4 linked regions of the Coturnix japonica genome follow. The protein of the gene in region 2 purifies or fractionates together with the protein of the main gene of each other region. This does not show direct contact. Links are inferred from orthologs where the notes say so. Each region holds a gene or a part of one and is shown on either strand. Other genes may lie near its edges.

The links.
Region 1: the proteins of USP4 (region 2) and PRPF3 purify together in Homo sapiens (co-immunoprecipitation; 4 studies listed by BioGRID and IntAct, with this or other methods). This does not show direct contact. The link is inferred for Coturnix japonica from reciprocal best matches to the Homo sapiens genes USP4 and PRPF3.
Region 3: the proteins of USP4 (region 2) and RBBP8 purify together in Homo sapiens (affinity purification with western blotting; 3 studies listed by BioGRID, with this or other methods). This does not show direct contact. The link is inferred for Coturnix japonica from reciprocal best matches to the Homo sapiens genes USP4 and RBBP8.
Region 4: the proteins of USP4 (region 2) and DCP1B purify together in Homo sapiens (co-immunoprecipitation; 3 studies listed by BioGRID and IntAct, with this or other methods). This does not show direct contact. The link is inferred for Coturnix japonica from reciprocal best matches to the Homo sapiens genes USP4 and DCP1B.

The regions. Positions count from the first base shown.
Region 1 is NC_029540.1:1,886,063-1,891,928, forward strand, and holds part of PRPF3 (U4/U6 small nuclear ribonucleoprotein Prp3), read right to left. Parts: intron 4,326-5,866; exon of another isoform or gene 4,230-4,325; intron 3,401-4,229; coding exon 3,254-3,400; intron 2,781-3,253; coding exon 2,697-2,780; intron 2,602-2,696; coding exon 2,381-2,601; intron 2,015-2,380; coding exon 1,708-2,014; intron 1,030-1,707; coding exon 863-1,029; intron 299-862; coding exon 216-298; intron 1-215. UniProt on the Homo sapiens protein: Plays a role in pre-mRNA splicing as component of the U4/U6-U5 tri-snRNP complex that is involved in spliceosome assembly, and as component of the precatalytic spliceosome (spliceosome B complex).
Region 2 is NC_029527.1:1,667,187-1,673,052, forward strand, and holds part of USP4 (ubiquitin carboxyl-terminal hydrolase 4), read right to left. Parts: intron 4,877-5,866; coding exon 4,685-4,876; intron 4,168-4,684; coding exon 4,079-4,167; intron 3,708-4,078; coding exon 3,492-3,707; intron 3,409-3,491; coding exon 3,338-3,408; intron 2,768-3,337; coding exon 2,652-2,767; intron 2,078-2,651; coding exon 1,928-2,077; intron 1,651-1,927; coding exon 1,547-1,650; intron 1,321-1,546; coding exon 1,232-1,320; intron 1,102-1,231; coding exon 1,003-1,101; 3' UTR 1-1,002.
Region 3 is NC_029517.1:92,792,869-92,798,734, reverse strand, and holds part of RBBP8 (DNA endonuclease RBBP8), read right to left. Parts: coding exon 5,521-5,866; intron 5,440-5,520; coding exon 5,313-5,439; intron 4,812-5,312; coding exon 4,714-4,811; intron 3,829-4,713; coding exon 3,714-3,828; intron 2,931-3,713; coding exon 2,760-2,930; intron 1,988-2,759; coding exon 1,918-1,987; intron 906-1,917; coding exon 809-905; intron 1-808. UniProt on the Homo sapiens protein: Endonuclease that cooperates with the MRE11-RAD50-NBN (MRN) complex in DNA-end resection, the first step of double-strand break (DSB) repair through the homologous recombination (HR) pathway.
Region 4 is NC_029516.1:51,561,598-51,567,463, reverse strand, and holds part of DCP1B (mRNA-decapping enzyme 1B), read right to left. Parts: intron 2,740-5,866; coding exon 2,491-2,739; intron 338-2,490; coding exon 257-337; 3' UTR 1-256. UniProt on the Homo sapiens protein: May play a role in the degradation of mRNAs, both in normal mRNA turnover and in nonsense-mediated mRNA decay. May remove the 7-methyl guanine cap structure from mRNA molecules, yielding a 5'-phosphorylated mRNA fragment and 7m-GDP.

The sequences.
Region 1 (5,866 bases), on a different chromosome or scaffold from region 2:
GAAACTCTCCCCTCTCAGTTCTGGATGTTTTTGCAGAACTTTCATATTTACTTTCATATGATTCCTTAACTTTACACAAGGATAAGAGACACAACAGTCAGTTGCCTGAGGCAAGCATGCTGGTTCACCCTGCCTAGTGTCAGCCTTATGGAGTATTTTATATCTAGTCAACCAGATTGGGCATAGTCTGAGACCAGAGTGCTACAGGGCAGTACCTGGTGGGTTAAGCTGTGCTGGGTGCTCCACGAGGTTTGTGATTCCAAAGTATTCATCTTTCTTTGAAGATGTTCCGCCTTTTCTAGAAAGGAGAGAGTTGGGCATCATTGCAAACCTCCCAGCCTGGATTCCTGCATTCCCTTAAACACAAGCCATGGAAAAAAAATAACACTTCCCTTGGACAAATCACGGCAGATATTTGACATGCACAAACCTCTACCCAAAGCATCAAACAGAGGCATGCAGCATAGATATGACCCCTGGTGGAATACCCACACACATTTCAGTTAAGAGACAGGCTTGCCACAGCTCAAATGTGAATGAGACTTGTGAGTAACCTGTAGCTGTGCTTGAGAAAGCACACAACCAACCTCGGGCCAAACAATCACCCTGACTGCAAGGCAGTCACCTGCTCAGTCCCTGGAGGAATGCTGCCTTCGAAGAAGGGCAGCTGCCTACCAACACCCCTGAAGAGACCTGGGAGCAAACCCAGTGCCTGCCTGTATCTCAGGGACTGTGGCAGAATTCAATAGCACATGGAGATGTGTCCAGCCTAAAGTGCACCAGAAAGCCCCATATTATCCCCAAGAAACTCCCAGAGTTCCCTCCTGCAGAACAGTCCAAGCTTGGTACATAAAACACTTACAGATCAAGGCCGTTAGGGATGATGTATGAGTCCCACCACTCTATCTCTGGGATCTCCCCTTCCTTCAGCTCCTTTTTAGGGGTAATAAGAGCCAACTTGGTAGAAGTGTGTATTCCTGTCTTTCTGGCAGCCTGAGAGATCTCCGCCTGCAGCTTTTCTAGTTGAGCCTGAGAACAAAGAGAGGAAAGTGGCACATAAAAGTCATTCCCAAATAGCACAGCTTCAGGAAAAGCGTAGCATGTTTGCATCTTCCAATATGTAAATGTATATGCTTAAATCTGAAGCAAACCACAGAGAAAACCTCACAAATCAAGATGATGAAGTGCTTTTACTAATAAACTTGCTAAAAATTGGGTGTTATTACTGAGCCTTCTTGGAGCACAGAATGAAACCCAAATAATGTCTCTCTGGGCATCACATCCCTGGGATTTTCTGCATAATGAAGCTCTTCTCTCCCATTTTCCCCACATATTTGGGCAGTTTACCAAGATTTTTTTCAATCTACACCCCTAATGCGACCACTTCTGTAGAAGGATGACTTGGCCAGAGAACTATCAATTCTCTTTGGTATTTTCCAAATCCTTTGCCAAATCAGAACAACAAACCACCAGATTTTGTCTTTTATCAAGTGAGGAAGCGCCTTCCACAAATCTATTCTCATTTGGAAATCTGCCTTTTCAATAAAGAACAACGTTAACAAAAAAAGCAACGTGTGACTTTACCAAAAAAGCTTCTTATCAAGTGAACACAGCTCCCTTCACATCCCAGGAAAGGAGAATCAACTCCTATCCTGTACCAAACCCTCATTTCTGTGCTGTCAGTTAGCATGGCAAGACCTCAAATACCTTCGTTCGCAACCTCTGGGCAATTTTCTCAAATTTGCCTTTTTCATGGAACTTAAAGGTGCGTTTCTGACGCTGGGCTGGGGTTATGGAGACCCGGGGGTCAAAGTAAGTGTTGGATTCCATATCTTCCGAGGGCTTTTCTTTAAGCTGCTGTTTGAACTGCTCTCTCTTCACAGCTCTGATGTTTGCTTTTAGGGTTGGCATGCGGTGAGTCAATTCAATCTCTTTACCAGTCGCATCAACAGTTCGGCCTTGTTCATCCAAGATCAGTGGCGTAGGCTTTGTCTGATCCTTCAATTCTACCTTCCTGGTGGCAAAACAAAGACATTACAGTGTGATTTTAGCATTAATTCAGAGGGACTGAGAACCATATTCCCATAGCAAGCACCAGACCTCTTAACTCATGAAAATGTTGTAAATGGCTTCTTTGCACTGTTCAGTTCTCATCTACAAGGCCAGAAAGGACTCAAATCTCACGTACAGAGAAGTTGAGTGTTACTCAGGGCAGGAGTAACCTCCATTTCACTTCTGTAACATATCCATTCCCTCAGCAGCCACTAAAGAGCTGCTAGAAATGATGGTGCATAGGGGAAACCCTTTGGCTACACCTTCTATTAACACTCTGGAGCTTCCATTGTCAGGATTAGCATTCAGAAAAACAGCAGCTACTCACGGCGGTGCGATCCCCATGGCGTGCAAATTGGCCAGCCCCACCATGTTGGCATTGCCAATAAGCCCTGGTTTCAAGGCCAACTGAGCCTGAATTCGGGCCTGCAGCTCGGCAGCTTTCCTGGCCTTCTCAATGGCATCATTCATGAAGGTTGCTGCCTGGGAGGGCTGGATCGTGTTGCCGATGGGGAGACGTTCCGATTGGGATGAAGAAGAAATTTTTGGCTGTTGATAGAGAAATGACTTTTTGTTACACAGCTGTTCTAACAGACTCAGGTCAACACATCATAGCCGTGTGCTACACAGCATCCAGCAGCTACCTGTGGTGTTGGAGGACTGATGAAGCTCAGCTGCTTTTTCCTCTCTTCGATCTGCCGGGTGGCTGCTTCCATCATCTGTTTGATCTGTGGAAACAAAATTGGATGGTGAATTTTTCTCCACTTTATTGGAAAGAGGGAAAAGGTCACCAGCGCCCTTTTACAGCTGCAAATGAGCTCAAGGCAGCTTAATGAGAATAGAATTGTATCAAGCTGCTTTAACTGATGACTGCTGGCTGTAGGAAGGGAATCTAACAGTGCAGGTACTAAGACTTTCTCCTCTTGGTTACTGCAGGTTATAAGTGAACATCCAAACTTTCCCCACTTAAAGACTCCATGTTGTCATTAGCCCAGTGCATAAGAGGCAGTGAGCTTTGTGAAAAGAAGATGGGCAGCAACTGCAGCAAACAAAGGATGGCCAAAAGCAGCTTGCCATTTGCTTTCACAGCTTGTGAATCAGGATAAAACAAACATTTAACTGTATCAGGATTCGAGATCTCAGAGGTAGACAGCACTGTTCTGGAGACAGAGCTGATGTAACACAGCCCTGTCAGACTGACCTGCAGCTTGGTCAGCATTCCTGGGCTTTCTGATGGCGGGCCTGGAATAACTTCAGGCTCATCCTCAACCTCCTCAAATCGTGGTATGCGCCGTTTCTTGACACCGGAAGATTCTTTGGATACCTCAGAGTCATCACCAAAAACATCCTGAGGTAAAAGGAGAGAGAAACAAAAGTGATTAAAAGCTAAGAATTTCCATCATCAACACTGTTTTGGGACAAGAAACCACCATGAGAATCAAATCCAGCACTGAAAGGTCAGCAGTGCAGTGTCTGAGTTTCCAGGGTGGCACTCACAGGTTGCCCTAACTGGTAGTCCCACATGAAGTCTGTGCCCTGGTTCCCCACAAAAGAAGCATCAATGATGATCCATCCAGCAGTTTAAAGAACAGGAGACACTCCAGGGATACACCTGTGTAAAAGCCACCATTGCTTTCTTATGTGGTCATGGGATATTAGGAATTGAGGAGATGTAAGATCTCACTCAGCTACTCAGAGAGGTGGAGAAAGCCTGTACACCTTAGCGTGACCAGGTCTTAAGGGTACTTGTATTTTCAGTCAACTTCAGAGGGGGTGAAAACAAAAGCTGCTCCCATCCTACTGTGTTCTGACCAAAGGGAGAACACAGTCCCAAACCCTGGAGGCAGGGAGATACCCACAGCATCTCCTTACAGCCTGATCCAGTAGGATCCAGCTCTGAGCCAGAGCTAAGTTGCTTTTAAGAAGCACAGCTCAGAGAGCAAGTGGAGGACTGATCTCACTGATGGACTTAATGCATTAAGTGTCCATCTCCCAAAAAGAAAAGTGTGCTTCACACAGAGTTCCGTGCCATTCAAGCACTCCCCAGCTTGTGTTGTTGGTGGTTATGGATTTCATTTAGTCAGTGCCAGTTTTGTGTATGGTGAACTGGATTTGTCCATGCAATTGTGTTCCTGCATTGTGTGTGAGAGCGTTATTGGAAATGAAAATATACAAACCGGTTGTAAGCGTTAGTTGAAATCCCTTCTTCACTATAATGGTTCATATTCTACAAGGACACATCCTCATCCAGAGACAGGTACTTCTTGGAAAACCTACAAGTTCAAGAGAAAGGACTTGCCCATAGTATAAAGTGTGTAAACCATTACGTTTTAGTTCCTGAAACTTCCCAAGCAATGACCTACCCCACAAGAGTTAACCAGAGAGAGAAGAAAGGCTGGGTGGAATGCTGAAGACATCTAATATGACTAGAAAGTACCATCCTGAATTATTTCACTTCCTGATGCTATAGAGCTAAGTGTGTAAGTATAAATTCAACTCTGAGACATGAAGTGGTGGTGGGAAAATTCATTCTATGCAGGATCAGGATCTGACAGCCTCAATTAACCATTTCACTCTACAAAAGGGTGAGGACAGATCTTGACAAAGGATCTCCAAGATGTAATTCCAGAGACAGGAGCTGATGAGAAAGGCAGGTTGGATGCCTGTCTCCATACCAGGAGCCAAGAGATGAGGATAGGTCTGCTCTGCTGCATCCCAGGCCTGCTTTGGGTCAGTTTAGAAGCCAAGAACACCATCAACTATCTGTGGTCATGTAGGATACCCAAGCAGGTGTTTCACTGGAGAAAAGTCACCAACCCCACACCCAGCCACATCCCTGCCTCAATGTGCAGTGTGAGACAGCTTGCCAGGCTGCAACAGGATGCTGCTCCCTCCCCTCCCCCTGTTCTGCAGTGCACTGGCCACTGCCACAAGGAAGATGAGAGGACAAGACAGTTTGAAGCCAGGTGCAATAACATGTTAACTCTGAATTTAACTTCTGAAGAAGTGTGGGATCTGTGCATGTTAGCAGTGCCACAGGACAGTACAAATCTCCCTATAATGCTGTGGCAGGAGGTCTTATCACCACAGAGTACTATGCAGCAATACAATGCATGATGTTACTATCTCTCTTCCATATCCACAAGAGGTCAAAAGCAAAAGCATTGAGGGGGCACAGCTAGCAGAAAAACAGCCTAGTCAAAATCTTGCTTTATAGTGGCAGCGTGGCATGACAAGTGTGTGTACCAGGCTAAAACCCAAATTAAAGTGGAACCACAGAACAGAAACATTTGGTAGATGCTTATTGGCATCACTGTTCAAGAAAGCTGCAGAAACCTGTAGTCCTTTAAGCTATAACATTCACTGGGAGACCCAAAATCCAGCCCTCTCCAGATCAATGAATGAGGTTGCACTGCTGCTGCTGTACTGAAACAGGCAGGATAGAAACTGCTTAAACACACTGTTCTTTAAAGGATGAATGTATCTGAGATCCAGAGGAGGCCCTTCTCTGGCAGGTATTAAAACCCCCTTCAGAGAGTGAGAGGAAAAAAAACAAGTTTCTAATAGAAAATGGGGAGCGAAGGCAGCAGTCTCCCAACACATCTGAGGAGGGATAAACTGAAACCTGAAAAGGATTATAACTGAGCTCAGGTGCTGACTAAACAAACTTACAGAGCAATACAGTTTACCATAACATAGGAACCTCAGAGAAAAAGTCAAAGGAAACTTACTTTGTAAGCAGGGAGCAGCATGTAGAGTAGCCACTTTTAAACTCAGTATGCGAGTGATGAAAAAAATGGATTTCCAGAAGGTG
Region 2 (5,866 bases):
AAGTCCTGAGAGAAACAGAGCCAGTCAGGTAAAGGTGGAAGAGAGGAAGAGCATCTGCCAGTTGTGTTGGAAGGATGGAGCAAAACTAAGCAACTATGTCAAAGGGACACACTGGACACAAAATTGTCAGCCTTACAGATTTGATATTCACGTCTACAATCATGGAATAGCTTGGGTTAGAGGGAACCTTAATGATCATCTAGTTCCAACTCCTGTAGGCTCGGGCTGCCCATGGACCCTCCAGGGATGGGCACACACAGCCCTGGGCAGCAGTGCCAGCTCTTCACTGCCCTCTGAGCAAAGAATTTCTCATATCTAACCTAAGTCTCCCCTCTATTAGTTCAAAGCAATTCCCCTTTGACCTAATGCTAACAGAGGCCGAGTATAAACTGCCCACAAGAGTCTCAAGTGCACCACCAGATGAAACAGTGCAAGTAAGAGAAACTTTGGTGCTTAGCAAGGAAACCAAAGTAAAATGGCAGAGGTGGCACAACAGATGTACAAAGATCTGAACTGAGAGACTCCAGAAAGGGTGCACGAGCCTCACTGATACACGCAGGGCCCATCAGCAGCACCACAGGGCTGACAGGAAGCCCCTGGACCAATGCACAGAATCCTACCCACCGCACTCCTCCATGGGCCCCACCACACTCAGCTGTAACCTCCGATTCAGGCTGTACTACCCCAACCCCAGCTACAGACCTCAGCCCACATCCCACAGCCCCAGCTCAGCCCTGACCCCTGCCTCAAGCCACACAGCTCAGACAGACTTTAGAAAGAACTTTATCAAAGCTCCAATATATATTATTTTTGGCCTCTAAATATCCGAGAGTCAGCACCTATTCCTGGCTCTCCGGTGCTGCTCTGTAACCCCAAGCACCGAATCTTTCAGTGCTAGATATTCTGCTCAACTCCTACAGAAGAAAGAAAAAACTTCAGATGCCTCAGAGATGGCTTTAGGAGGGACCTCTAACACGGCGGCCGAGTGCTGGAGGCGGTGCTTTAGTTGGTATCCATGCCGTCACACTCTTCTTGGGGAGGAGATGGGGCAACATGTTCCTCGTTTCGGCGCTGATAAAACAGCACATAGGCAGCTTTTGTCTACCAAACAAAAAGCAAAAGAATTGGAAAGACTGAAACAATCCATGTGGCTTGGCTAGAAACACAGTGCTCAAGGAAAGGGACCACACTTGCAGCATGAGCTCGGATTAGCTTCAGGCCAAGTACTCACCACTATTTGGTCTTCTGAAGCCAACGACACGCTGCTGTCATCAAAGTAGTACCACTTGCCATTCACCTTGTTCTTTGCATAGGCAGTGTCTGTTGGAAGAAGAAACTTCAGGTTCAGGGAAGCACTGCACCAGTGACATTCAAAACTCAAACCAACTGTGCAAGGCTGTCCAAGAGCTGCTTTCTACAGTTCCATGTTTGACACTGTACTAGAAAGCCTTGGTGAGGACCGCTGTAAATCACAGTGCACAGAGCCCCCCTCCAGTCCCTCCTTTGTACGTCCCTTGCATGAAAGAACAGGAAAACAATCACTCACAGTGGCCTACTCCCATGGCTCCATAGTGATTGGAAACTGCAATGAGGTCGTAGACATATGAGCTTCCTCTTGGGTCACAGACAAACTCAGACATGTTTAAACCCCTGGAAGAAAATCCAGAAATATCAGTATGCCAGCAATCTCTGCTTCCACATCAGTGAAGCTCTGTCAGCAGACAGCACTAGTGAAGCTAAGTGTTATGCTCTGATGCTCAACAGCTTGAAGTTTTCAGTGCCGAGACCCAAACATTAGCCCTGCCACACAGAGCAGGTCGTGGTAAACTCATGGGGTGCTGCAAAGTGATTGAGGGAGGGACCAAATGAATAACAGCTCTGAGCATCAGGTCTTCATATGAAAACTAGCTCAAAGGAAGGATCTTACCTGATAGGGAATTCAACAACAGTGTCAAGTTTATCCCTCCAGTATCTGCTGTATGAGAAGCGTTTTAGATGCACTACCAAAATCTTGGGCAGTGACCACAAGTCAAACTTCTTTGTGGCCTGCTGATGCTTCTTACAGTTAGGGCAATACCTGAGGAAAAAAAGTAAAAATAAGAAACCTGAAAGATGTCAGAGGATACATCAATCGTGTGGTTCAGTCCCTGCCTCACAGAAGACCATTTTGGCTTACGGAACATCCAGTTCCTTGGAGGTTTCCAAACTACCTCTTACTTTCACTCTGCTGCTAAAACATCCTACTGGATGAAAAGGGATCTCAGTAAAACTAAGAGTGCTTCAGGACTGGTACAAGCTGCAAATAAAATAGTGCAGAACCAAGCACTATAAAGTAGCCAGCTGCTCTCACTGCTATCACAAATGCTTCCTCTGATGCTGTCTGAAAGTCAGACGTATGGTGGGGGATCAAAAATAGATCAATCTCTACATACACAGTGCCTTTTTTAAATGCAGGCAGGAAACAAGGAAAAAATACACCCCTTATTAGCCCATGCCTGCAGCCTACTCAGTCAATGACTGACCATAAAACAGACACATCCCACAGACTAAAAGACAAACATGGGAAATGATCAGAATCCTGGGACAAATCATCTGATCTCAAGCAGTTACAGATTTTTATAATAAATAAAAAGGGAGAAAGAAGCTCTTACCAAGGGTCGTGTTCACCCAGAGTTTCCATTGTAGTAAAGAGCTCTATGCAGTCTTTAAGGGCTACCACTGCCTTCATCTTCTGTGGTTGTAACACACTTGCATGCTTTTCAAATGCCTAGTGAAAGAGATGCAAGTTTTATTCAATTCACATAGACTTTAATCCCTGCCACTGTGAAAATGAACGTGCCCAAGTTCACACTGCTGGAACAACCAAAACATGCTAAATCATTGTGGCACATGCTAAATGTATTGAAGTGATTGACAGAAACCAGAATGATACTGGGGCAAAGAAGCTACCAACTCCCAGAGGAGCAATCATGGTTGACACTGACCTTCAAGTGAGCTAGCTCTCATCTCCAAGCCACTCAATTGCTTAAGTGTGGTCTCTTAGTAAGGAGAAGGTTCTGTGTGTGTGGTTTTCTGCTTATTAATTTGAGTAGATTATGAACTAGACAACTTAGAAATTAAAGTTTCTACCTTTAGGAACACTGGTAGCAGACGAACAGTAACAGATCTGCAGGTCTTATCTTGACCAACTCACCCCATGTTGTTGACTGCAGCCTCTGGGCAGAGGGCCACACAATTTCAGCTGTTTATTACTGTGATCTATTGAAGTATCATGCTGTGTACTATGGCATGCACTAAGTTTACACATAAAACACTTATGAAAAGAGCATACTACAACCTGTGCCTCCTGTTCATCAAAGAGCAGCCTCCGTGTTTCAGAATCCCAGTCAATAGCAAGCGTAGAAAAAGCTAGAAGAAACAAGAAAAAACTTTTGCTGCCCATTTGTTGGAGGAAGGAGGAAGAAGAGGAAGGATAACAGGACAATAGTTACCATTCAATTTCAAGAGTTTTCCTTCTACAATAGAGTTTATCTCAGAGGTCCCGTATAAATTCACAAGGCTGAAAGTGAAATACTGCTTCTTACAAGGCTGCAGGCCTCTCGTTGGCTCAACCTGCATGCAGCCCTCAGAGGGGCAGGAATCAACTTCTGCCAGCTTCTCCCTGCCTTCCTGGCCATCATCCTGATGCTCCATCTCTTCAATGTCACCTGGCAAAATGTAAAACAAGCCCAATATTGAAGCCCGTCAGTGAAAAGTTCAGACTGAAGCTGTATTTTATCCCTTACCAAGGCCAGGAAAAACATCAGGGTTCACATCCTATTGTCAGGCATGATGAAATACACTCAATCAACATAGGTTAACACATCACACCATCTGACAGCACACTCTAAGAAACATCCCAAAAGGCTGCATTTGGTCGTTTTCATAGTAAGGCAGCCCTCTGCCACAGTGCTATATCATCATTATGTAGAGCTAAAAATAACTGCAGGAGCTCAAGCCAATTACACACAGCACAAACAACATGATAACAAGAGCTTCAAGACCAAAATGCTTCCAAGTAATTCTGAAAAGACTTTACCTTCAGCCACACTGCTGGAGCCATTGCATGCTCCTCTGTCTGGACAAGGTGCGGAGTATACTTCTGCCACAGGGAGTTTCACATAGCGACTTAACAGAGGGAACATTTTAATTCCACAATTGTAACAAAACAGTACATCACAACAACTGCACCCTCCCCGTCAATCCCCTTGGTGAGCCACAATTTATTATGCACAGCATCAAAAGCTCTCAAACAAAACCAACTCGGAAAGTCTACGTTCTCACTGCTTGTACCGAGTTTAACAGGTGTTAGATGGGAAATACAAAAACAAGTTATGGTGACCCACATGAGAGCCCTCACATTTCCCACGCAGTGCTTCTGATCTGTTTTGCAGCACCAAGCATGTAACTTCCCATGGGACCACCATCTGTATTATGTAATGGGAAGCTTTTACAGAGCCCAGACAACCAGGACCTCAGGACATCCCTGTGGCCTCCAGGCAGTAGCACAATGCAAACACTGGTTGGTACCCCAGAGACAAATCCAGGAAAGATCTTCCTATCAAAAAGGATGCAGTGATCCTGGCATAGTCTAATTCAGTGAGCTAACACTAGAATTTTGCACTAAGGTACAGATGTGACTTACCTGATCCGCTCCAAAACGACACCGTACAAGTGATCCACAGTGAGCTTGTGTTTTGGCACAGATACCAGCAGTGGTTGACCAAAGAGCACAGTCCCTGAAGTGCTGCTGGATTGCCTCGCTGCCTTTTCCCGAAAGTAAACAGACAAAGTAATGTACTCTGAGCCATCTTCACTTGGCTTGCAGACTTCATATCTGTTCAAAAGACAGGCATGTCCACAGGTTATTTCTACTGCCAAGAAGCACAGCAGGCAGAACCAATATCAAGTCAGTCCAACAACTCTGTCTGCCAGGATCACTTGAGGACAATAAGGGTTGTACTCCGTGTACACTTGACTGCACTAAATGAACTTTTAGATCACCAAAACAAGGTTTGTTCTGTCTGAAGAAAGAAACCTTCTCAGTTCCTTAGGTCTTACATTCCCCCCGAGCCTCCTGCTCCATTTCAGGTCTGAGCTTAAATCACCAACCAGACAAGGCTTCAGAAAACCAAGAGTATGGAAACATCTGCTTTACAGAAAAATCCAGGAGAAAACATTCTGGAAGAGAAGCAGCTCCAGAGAGCAGAGAGAACACTGAGATGCAATTTGTGCTGCTGCGTGCAACAGAAAAACCAGGTATTCGCAAATAGAAGAGTCAAAAGGAACCACATGGTGCAATTGTACTGCGTTTCTCACTCCCTATGTGAGTTTCAAGACTATTCAGCATAAAGGACTTATCCCATGATTTCCACCTCACAGTGCTCTTCAGCCTGGTGAGCTGCCTGCTCCAGACTCATCTTAAAACTGAAAAAAGAAAGGTTTCATGAAAGCTGTCACTACACATAACTGAGATGACAGTCACACATCTGGACATACTGTCACAGGTTAACCATGACACATACCCACAGCTCTTGCACATTAGAGATGCCAGTTCCTTTCTTGCAAGAGCCAAGAAACAGGTTTCTGTTTCTATGTTCAGCACACCCTTGCAGAGCATGGAGTGGAACAAATTTCAGAGTTGCAGTTCTGCTCTGTCCCACTTAAACAAAAGCCCAGCTCCCAGCTCAAGGCCACGAAGAAAAATACCCCTCCAAGAACAGAAGAGACAAGAAGTGGATCTAACAGCTTGATAAGAATGGCTGTTGTGTTTTCTATGCCATCAGCACTGTCCAGTTAGACAACAGCACTATAAAGAGAACTACTG
Region 3 (5,866 bases), on a different chromosome or scaffold from region 2:
CCTCACATTCTAAGATATTCATCTTGAATGGCCTAGACTTTAAAATAATAATAAAAATAAATATATATATATATAACCTTTTTAAAGGCTGAATGTAGAAACCCAATACTGTAAAAATCCTGGCTATTAATGTTTCCAGAATTACCACTCTAATTAAGTTATCAGGAAGTAACAAGAACTGGATTGACTGATCTGTAGCTTACAGATGCAGGAAATTGAAAGCTAGCATGTGGCTCCTGGGACAAGAAATAGACTAAAGGTTTTGGTTTTTCTTCCCTTCAATATCCCATTTTCTTTCAAACTATCTGAATTAAGCACATTTTTGAAAATGGTATTTATTGTTGACTGTAAAAATTATTCTAATTTAATGAGTTTTACCAAGGATATTTTTCAGGAACATGTTTTTGACCAAAACGTAGTCCAATAAATCTCTTCAGCTAAGTAAATGTAACTTAGCTATAGAATGACCAGCAGCAGGATCTATGAACAGCACTGGTTCCAAAAGACTCCTAAGAGAATCCATCATTATTCAGCCATTAATCAGCACTTCTGGCATGTTAACTTATGAAATTATTCCCTAACTAACTCAGCCTTCTCAGAATCAAATTAAATATGTCCTTTCTATGCATGTAATTATGTCAATATTGTATCTTTCTTCAAATGATATGTAAGCAGTTCAGTAATTTTAAAGGAAAAAACTTGTAAAGGAGAGACGAAAAACCCCATACTATTCTCCTGGTAATATAATTTTTTGTGTATGTTTGCATATACCTTCACATAGAAGACCAAAACTACCAACACTACTTACAATTTCACATTCCTTACAAGTATGCCCTTGCAATTTTCTTCTTTCCTCTTTGTTTCGAATCACCTCAATATGAGGAAAATCTAACATAGTATTCTTCCTGAAAAACAAAAATGTTGTCATATGATAAAGCATTTATTTCCTCTACATGTCTGAGAATTTCCCTTTTTTTACTTTTTTCTTTTAGGATAAAATAATGGTTAGCTTAAAAAAGTCACAGCATCCACAAAACCCAAACATACTACATTTCATACTTTAATATGATTACTTTAGTAATTAAAATAGTTCCAGAGTTTTAAAAATACAATAAAATCCTTTAAAAAAACCCACACATATGCATGGCAAGTGTTTATGGCTTTTCATCATATAAAAGTGGCTTGATCTGAATTACTCAAAAATGTGAGTTCTGAAGAACACATTTTGGGACTCAGAAGATCCTGCACTGATCACAGCAGGACATTCCTCCTGCAGATATTCAAACACTGAACTAAGATTGTTTTCAAATAAGATGCTCTCTCTTGAAACCACAAAACACCAAACAAATTCTTTATCTGTGAAGAAAACAGGCCAATGTTAAAATAAAAAGACAGTAATTATTAAAGTGAAGGGCTTGGTATCATTATGAAGACCCAGACTATCAATGATGATTAGGCAGAAAGGCAACAAAGGAAGCCCCAAGACACAGTTATTTTGCATCCCTCATTTATTGCCTAGAGGAAGGAAAAAAAAAGCCCAGAGATAACAACTTTTTTCTTATTTATACAAGCGACCCATCAGCTCTTTGATGATAAACACACACATGGCTACACGCCCACAAGAAACCACAGGGATTACAAAATACTTCGTTCAATGGGATTATAAAGAGCAGAAATATCATTCCTTCCTTTGCAACAGATATAATTGATATTCCTTAACGTGTGTCTTTTTTCCCCTCTACTTCAGCTTTTATCTAATTCACAGTATCTTTTTACCTGCGCATCTTCAGCTGCTAATAAGTTGCATATGAACTGGTTTGTTCTCTGGCAGAACAAGTTCTCTTTAAAAAGTAAATACCCTTAGAATACCCATGTTAAACAAACTACTTTTATTATTATTTATATTAGGCAAATTACCTTTCATCGCTTTTGAAATATGGCTCCACAAAAGCTTTCTGTTTGGCTTTATCTTGTTTATCCTCATGCTCTGTAAACACACAGAACAAAAAGCCACATGTCACATAAGGTTAAAAGACTGCCTGCTGAAACAGCCTACTAATCATTTTAGAGACATTAAGTACAACAAAAGCCATGTTCATGCTGCTCTGAGGTAGGAGATACAAATAGAAAGTAAAAATAATATAGAATTAGTTGGTCAATGATTGCAAAGCATTAGGGGGGAAGAAGAAAAAGAGCAGTGAGATAAGATGAGCAGAATAGGAGTGGAAAGGCTGCTTAAAATACAAAATACTGAGAAATCTCAATATAGGTGGGGAACACAGAAAGCAAGTAAATCACAGTCCTAACCTACAGCCAAAAACTGGTGTTTTCCTTAGGTGTAATTCTGTTGTACAGCTTCTATGTCAACTTCCATTGCAGCTCCCATATTTGTATGTGTGTAATATAGATGAATCAACAGAACAATTTTTGTATCTGTTATATTAATGTACTACAATGAGTGAATCATCCCATGAACTTATGAACAATGAACTCACAGTTTATTTAAACACAGCCATCCCTGGTTGTGTTTAAGAGCCGTTTGGATGTGGTGCTCAGGGATATGATTTAGTGTAGGGTTTTTAGAGTTAGGGTACTGGTTAGGCTGCGGTTGGACTTGATCTTCAAGGTCTTTTCCAACCTGGGTAATTCTATGATTCTATGATTTGACGTATCCGTTCCTATAGAACAGACCCTGACTACAACTTTTGCAGTCTGACCAGACTAATAAAGAAGAGATAAAAGATAAACATATGTCTCACTCTTCAGTTTCTTGTTTGCTACTGTTATTCCTCTGTCCAGTTCTTCACCATGCACGGTTTCTTTTTCATCACATGCAGAAAGACTATCTTCTGGTAGGCATGATTCATATTCTTCATCAGCTGTCCGATCAAACATTTCTGTTATGGTATCATTCATTTTTTTTTCTCTTCCTATTGTGGGGAAAAAAAAAAAAAAACACAACAAAACACGTGAGCAACGAACATTCCAAATCAGTCCCAACAATTTAAGTAAAGAAGGGATGCTTTGACTGAATGTATATAAAGAACTGGCATCTTCTTCCAGCTCCAGTACTGATTAACTCAATAATAATACATAATGCAAAATCTTGAAACAGAAACAAAGCAACGACAGCAAACAACCCCTAACAAGCAAAAAACAAGAGACCAAAAAACAAAGAATGACAAGCACCACCCTCAAAGAAAAAACCAGAACACAATCACTGTTAGAAGACATGGCCCTGCAACTGTGATTCACCATATATCATATGTTAGATGCAATATAAACACATCTGAGTTTATTTTAACTATACTAGTTCTAATTGCATGCTATTAAAAATGAGAAATAACTTTCCATAGGAAGTCTGATATGATTATCTATCAGCCTTTCAAAGCACTTAGTGGTAAGCATGCTCATTCCAGGCTAGAACATAGGGGAAAAAAACTGTTTAAGCATGGTAAAAGCATGGTTTTGGCTTTGTCTTACAACAAACCTTGTTTAGAGAATGTAAGTTTGAACAAAGAAACAACCATTATCCACTGTAGTAGGAGACAGGTTGATCTTTGTAACTGCAAAAAATAAGTGTGCTTTTTGCTGCAAGCCAGTTTGTATTGTCTAATCACATATGGGGAAAAAACATCCTTTCTTTTCCCCTCCCCCCCCCCAATAAATAAATAAATAAATCAAAACAAAGAGGGGAAAAATTAAAGTCTTACTTGGACTGCTTTCCTGTGTTTGCTCTTGATTTTTCATTTTCAGTAGCACACTTTCACTAACATATGTATAATCCATATCAACAACTTCTCCTCCGATTCTTGACTGAGAATCATCCTGAATAAAAAGAAAGGACAATTACACCCAGAAGCAATTGTTGTAATCAACAGTACTACTATACATCTAAAACTATTTTTGTCCAAAGAGTTTCCAGGAACAGTGACGTTTGTCTGGCAAATTACATTACTTGCTAGACAAGAAGAAACTGCTTTAAGTTTTCATGTTAAAATTCTACAGAGAAAAACACATTAGGATAGATCTCATTTGAGAGAAAGCCAACAAATTCTCAGAAAGAAAGGAGGATTCTCAGCCATCCTGCTATTTCTAATAGGCAACCTGTACACAAATATAAGGACAATTGTCATGAACTGCACAACTTCTATTACTTAACAAAGAGAGATGTCTTCATGAATGTTTTCACAGGGAAAAAAAATCACAGAATCACACAATGACCCAGGTTGGAAGGGACCTCAAGGATCATGAAGCTCCAACCCCCCTGCCTGGCAGGGCCACCAAACTTCCATGTTTACTAGATCAGGTTGCCCAGGGCCCCGTCCAACCTGGCCTTGAACACCACACCTCCAGGGATGGGGCATCCACAGTGTCCCTGGGTAGTCTATTCCAGACATACTGGAAAAATCATGAGATTTAAAACATTTTTCTGTTCAACAAAATTCTAAGATACCATCAAGTCCATCTGTTTCACCCTGAATACCCACCACATGGCAAAGTCTATCAAATACAACAAGACAGTTGAAATGCTACAGGATAACTGAATAAACAAACATTATATAGGAGCATGAAAAAGCATCATGTGTCCCAAATTGATTTTAGTTAGCAAGTAGGTTTTATCTGCCTGGAATGAAGGTCATGATATTACTTCTAAAGTCTTTTTGTCCAACATTATGGAACATGCCAACCTGTTGCAAAGCGATGGCTCACCTTTGTATCAATCACAGTTACATCCATTTTGTACTGTGCAAGGTCAGCTCCTGGGTCTATGCTCCACTGAAGGTTTTCTAAAGGTTTTTCTTTCAGGTCTGAATATGACAAGAAAAGACAAATCAGAACCAAACTCTGAATCTTCAGAGAAAACATTTCAGGGTTTGTTGTTTCTCTCTCTCTCTCTCTCTCTTTTTTTTTTTTTAAAACAAAAATTAACATAAATAAATAAGACAGTGAAATAGGATTTCAGGAAGCCTGAGTTTAAGCTAGCTGTAATTCATGTGCTGCAGTAAGGCACTGTGCAGACAAACATGCTAAATAAATGAGATATAATATTATTCATTATTTGTTGAGTTTACAGCTGAATGTCAATGATATATTCATTATACAGTGACAAAAGAATATGGGAAAGATATTACTAAAGTAAAGCCTAATGAGATACAGAAGATTATAACTGAAAATCTTGAGAAGCACAGAACAGAAAATGACTAAATATGAAGCAGAAAAATGATCAATGTGGGAAAAGGCAGGATATAAAGAATTCTATTCATCTGTAGCATAAACCATGAGGATAAGGTACTAAAATGAAGAATTACCTTGCTCATTTGGCTGTACTTTATTTTTTGATAGTCTACAGGGGTTTGGTTGAAGTACAGATGCTGGTTCAGACTCTCCGTGCCCTGTCCTTGTTTTCTTTCTGTTTGGTACATGGTCACTGGCAACCTAACAACATATTGCAATTTTATTGTTTCCCAATATTTACATTTAGCATTTCAAGAGAAGAAAAACTGAGAAAAAACATACCTTCACATCATTAAAAAGTTGTTCTGTGTCTACAGTACTTGGCAGTGGTGTAATTTTTAAGGGAGGGACTTCTTCTTTCATTTGGATCTGTTTTTTTGTATCTGCAAATGTTTTTGCCAGCACCGCCTCTTGTATGTAGGGCTCCTCTTGCATACCTCTGCCAAACAAGCTCCTCTCGTTGTTGGCATTCTGAACTGACGATGAACCCTCATGATTGGGCTTCCCTAGCTGCAAAAAAACGTCATACAGAGTCACCTGCTTCAGTTTATTTTTACAGGTCTCCTCATTTCCTTGTTTTTTCTCTTGACAACGAACTCCACAGAAGCGATCAGACAGATCCAAGGGC
Region 4 (5,866 bases), on a different chromosome or scaffold from region 2:
AATTCTAAGTATGGGCCAGTCTAAGACAAATATTGTGTGGTTAAGTTTTCAGCACTGTGACGCTCCCCTCCCTGAAGGCACAATCCATTTCCACCCACTTGTTTCTAAGTACAACATGGACTTGCTAAGGAGCAAAATCTGTGTGTATGCAAAATGCCCAAGACCATTTATTTCTTTAAATGGGACATTACTTGAAAATTTGGAAGCCTTTTTCCTGGGATTCAGAAAGTAACAGAAATTAAAAAGCAACCATCTTTCACATGGATTTCTTCATTGCTGCCTTTCTCACACTGAAGAGATACGCTTCATAAATAATGTTTAAGAAGTTGTCGTCGTTCTGAAAAACAAAACACAATCGTTACTACCAAGGAGACATTACTGAGTAAACAGATAAGGTTTTACTTCCATTTCACAGACAAAATACTTTTCAACCTTGCTCTATCTTAGAAGCACACAACAGAAGGGGTATTTCCTTTTCAGGCATACATTCTATGGCTTGGATGTAATATATAACTGGATGGGAAGCACGACTCTATAAGCAGTAATGAATAGATAGAAAGTAAGCTTTCCAAACTCACACTGATTTATCTTGAGTATGCTGTTCTTGCATGATACTGTAGAGAGTACAGGCTCGGAGCAACCTGATCTAACTAACCTGATCTAATGCCCCTGTTCATTGCAAGGGTGTTGCACAATATGACCTTTAAGGGCCCCTACCAACTCTGAGGATTCTATGATTCTATGACATAATCCTGTAATTGCTTTTCTTTGCCCCCATTTACCAAACAGTTTCCTTAAGTTTCTTCCATTAGTTCATTGATTATTGTGTCTCTGAAGGAACAGTGGAACACTTTGGGTTTTGCTCCTATACTAAATCCCACCTGGGCAAACACTTTCATCCTGTTTATCACAGGATGACTTGGGTTTGAAGTAACTTAAAGTTCATCCAGTTCCAACTCCCTGCCATGGGCAGAGCTGCCACCCATCCAACCTTGCCTTGAGCGCCTCCAAGGATGGAGCACCCACATCTTCTCTGGGCAGCCTGTACCAGGGCTCACCACTCTCTGAGTAACAAATTACTTCTTAACATCTCACTCTCTTTTAGTTTCCCCTCTTTTAGTTTAAAGCCATTGCCCCTTTGTCCGACCAATATTAGACTGTTTAATTATTTTAGTCTTAATGCTTCCACCACGCTCTGCTCCTTTTGTTCTGATGCACGTTTAACTTTTCTCTTTAGAAGACCGTTTTTTGCAAGAGCTGGCAATTTCACACTAAGAAAAGATGTCTTAAGTAGCTTACATAAACATATGAAGATAATTAAAATCAGGATAGTCCTTGAGGAAAACCAGGAGCAACTGAGATTGTAGTGTTATATAACAGAAAATGATAGCTAAGGAACTAGCAATCAGCATCCCGTTATTAAACAGTAAATAATTTCCAGGTAACACAGTTAATCCCAGCTGTCATCAAGAACAGCGCAACCGAACATGCATTTTACAGATACAGTTTCAGTGCACAGAATCTTGTTTTCTCCTTTTTAATTTCATACATGGCTTTCCTATTATCCAGATATTCCATGTACGTAAGACAGAATATTACAGTATTTTTCTTTTTAGACCCAACATAAAAATAAGGAGGGAAATGAGATGAACATCTAATGCCTTAAAGACACTATTTTATTTATAGATCTATAATTTAAACTTCATTTTATGTGACTCACTTCAGCATTCCAATAAAGGCATATTCTATTGCCAAGCCACATAGGCATAGTTTGGCCTACAAACTGGACACTTCAACCCGTGCCTCCATTCATTACACACTATAGCCAGTTCTTTAATTCTACAGTCTCTACTCTTCAGGTATTAATTTCACAGTAAGTTACTGAAAAAAAAAATCATAATTCACATAATCACAGAGCAGTAAACAGTCATCTCCTACATGCTGTTAATGCTTTGTCAGATTTAAACTTGAATAATTCTAGCAAGAGGAAATTCAGCATTTCAAGTAGAGAATTATATAGAATAGATTGAACTAGCACGCTTTTAGGTTACCTAACCCATATTTTAAAGTTGCTCACACTTCCCATCTGAATTCTTCTTGCTCTTTGAAGTATTTGTCTGCTAAGATAAACACCCCTTACTTTGCTAAAAATACAACAGGTATCTTTCCACCTCTTGGGACAGCCTTTTGAAGCTTTCGGTCATTTTTATTATTTTCCTTCAATTGTATCATCTTTCCTTAACCTCAAACTACATTGATTAATCAGAGTGCATTTAAGCTAACAGTAAGCAAGAAGATGCTATCACCTTCCTACTCTGTGGAATAGTACTCAATTAACACAGCCATAAAAAGCTTCCAGCACATACTTAATTATCCATCTAGGCACATATACAAAACTCATTAGATGCCCAGGTGCTTAGGTGACCAGGTGCTCATATCGAAATGGTAATAAAGGTTTAAATTGAAGTAGAAAAACTTGTGGCACTTTACCTGGATCAAGTGTAGAAGTGTTTCCTGCAGCTGCATCTTTGTCACTGAGCTGCTGTTGATCACAGGTGGCTCTGGGGTTTGCAGTGGTAGGAGAAGGTTAGCAGAGCTAGCAGCAGGTTCTTGGTTTGATGCTGCTAACCGCCCACCTTCGTTGGCTTTTGGTGCAGCAGGTGTGGGCTGAGTGAACACCATTGGGGACATCAATAAGGTAGGAGTCACAGTAGCAGGAATGCGCTGAGGTGAGATTACCTGTCCACATAAAAAATATCAATTAAATAACCTGTTCAATCAATTCTATAGGAATTAAGATGATTAAAGATGCAGACTGATTTGCAACAAGTACAGAAATTGTGGGAGATCGGTCCAGTTCCATGAACCTCCGGTTCAGGACTCCTGTATGATTCAGTTCCAGGTTAAAAGGTCCTCCATCCAAACTGAGAACACAGTCATGGGTTCAAATGCGATACAGCCTACCTGTCAGGCAAACACTATTATTAAATAATGAGTACTTTTAGCTGTAAAGTTTTCCATCAGGCCAGTAAGCCCTGAAGTTTGATAATATTCTTTCTTACTTGCAAATACCAAAAGTAAAGCTCAGTCTTGGTATCTAATAATAGAAAATATTTGCCAATTACTACTTTCAAACTGCTGTCTTTATGTATATATGCATACATGTACACATGCATGCACACACACGTATAATGTAATTCTCTTTATATGTAAGGAGAAGTAAAACAAAACAGATATTAAATTATGTATTTGAAGACCTACAGTGAACTGATGGCACCATTAGAAATAGAACTGACTCCTAACCGATTCTCAGCTTATAAAATCAAAATGGCCCTCAAAGAGAAGGAAAACCCAGACACTGCTGGAGTTCTGCAAGTTCCCTCTCTGTCATATCCATACCAACATGCAAATATCGGTGTCAAAGAATTTTTACATTTAAAATTTGTGATAAATCTCAGAAATCTAAAACCTGCAGAACTAGTCAGTACTAGCAAATGTTTTATTCACTAAATTTGTAGATACTGAAACTTTCTGAAGGTAATCCTAGTAATATGCTTAGAAACCAGTGCTTATTGGGGCCCGGAGTTCGAATCCCCCCTGTGGCGCAAGTGGTAGAAGTGCCGCTCTGCTACACAGAGGCTCGAATCCCGGGGGCCGGACTCGATGATCTCTAAAGTCCCTTCCAACCCGCACGAAATTATGAAACTATGAAACTATGAAACTATGAAACTATGAAAACCATCAGAAGTCCATAGGGACGTACCAATGTAGATTCAGACCTTCAGCGTGTGCACACATTCTCCTGAAGATATGCCAGTAGAAGACTGGCTGCCCCCAGATGCTCATGACAACATCTCTGACCTACTCATCCATGTAGCTTGAATAGCTACTCTTAATCTCAAGTAAAACTGGTGGGTTACCTTAAATCAGATGATTTTTCCTAATGAACAATTTAAAGAATGCATATAAAAACTGCTCTGCAGGGTAGGAGCCTCCAGCAAAGGAGTGGTGGGGAGCAGCTGGAGGAGGTAAATCGTCTCACTAAGACAGAGAAACCTAAGACTGACGATGTCAAAGATTTAAACGATAAGTCCTCTGAAATCAAAACACTCCTCTCTAGAGTCTGAGACAAACGTAACCTAACACAAATTATGCAACAAATAGTTACTACTGTCAAACATACATGTGTTTTGTTTTAACAGACATATCAAAAACTGTTTTTTATTTCTGGATAAAAACAGCTTCTTCGTAGTTTTCCAATCATATGGATGGTATATGGAATAAGCAATATTGCCATCTACTGGTGACTGAGCTAATACCGACAGGTTACTGCAGTATTTCAAGTGTTTGCCTCAGCAGAAAATACACGTATCTTTTATTTTCAGCCCATACTAACTGCTTTTGTGTGCAAACATTACAGTGTATTTTCTTCTGCCAAGAGATCATGCTCAAAGCTTCTGCCATTTAAGAAACCTACATGTAAACCAGATGGTTGCCTTTTAAACCATAAAGTCAATTTTTCAGTTTAGATTCAGATCACCTCCAGCCACCTGACAATTGATGTCCATCAGCAAATGTAGGGCACCAGATTAGCGTTGCTAGTGTGATTCCTATAGAGCAAAGCTTTTGCTGAGAGCACTGGAAACGCTCTGTAGGGACACAGAGCCTTCAAACCAGTCTTTTAGCCTTGAGTAATTTTGTACAAGGCATAACAGCCTTTCCAATACACTACTGATCCCCTTCTTTCTCATGAAACCTAACACAAGCTGCTCATGCATCCAGCCTTCCCTGAATTAGCTCCAGCTTTTTCAGGTCAACACTTAAATCTCTGAGTCACTAATAACAGAGTGGGAGTCTACTGCCAGTTGTGCAGCAATAAAGTAAGAACAATGAAAAATGTGCAAGATAGTCACTGCAGCATGTATTATTCCTCCTCTGAAGCACAAATGCTCACTAGGATATGTCTGATATTCTGCATGGCTGTTAGCAGCTAGATGACATTACAAGTAGCAAATTCACATAACACCACGCACTAAGAAACGCATGGCTCTCCTGTAATGGATACTGGGACCTGGCCCTGCTTCCCCTTTCTGCATGTGCAGAATTCCACTTGCATCAAGCACTCCTCTGGAATATCAGCACCCAAGGGATGCCACAGGCTGGTTATAGGGGCGTTATTTAGAGCTGAGAACAGTTCATCTAGGAATGGCTCCTGAAACTGCAGTTATGCTATAGGCATCTTTGACAATACCATCATACCGCTAGCTATTATGTACCATATACACCTTCAGAAGATGTAACACAGTAGGTAGATGACATTTTTGATGGAAAACACTCCAAGAAATCAAGCGAGCAGTATACAATATAAGCGGACTTCTGAAGAGATCAACTTGTGTCAAGGTTATTGTAAGCATTCTTAAAACCACCATTCTGATTAACACGAACACTTCAGCATGCGTGAATCTATAATTGGCATAACTCATGCCTAATACTAAGCACATGTTTAAAAGCCCATTGCAGATTAATGTGCTTTTATTGCACCCAAAGCACGTGTTACTCACTGTCTGCATAAGGAGTACGTCTTAGAATAGGGCTAGCATCAGACGAATGCTTCCGAGCATTATTTCTTAGCTTTTCATGTTTAGTTTTATTTTTTATTCTTTTTGTAACTGGTCTATTCCTCTCCACGTGGGAGATCGCAGTTCTTACACCATATGGAGATGCAGAAGCCAATTTAAAATTGGACTTGTAATGTGTCAATTGAGGAAAAGACTATTGCTTTAATTTTCTCAGCACTGCTGATAGATCTGGGATGTTCCTGTAATGTGATTTTTCCAAACAACAAAGACACTGTCCAGATACCCTT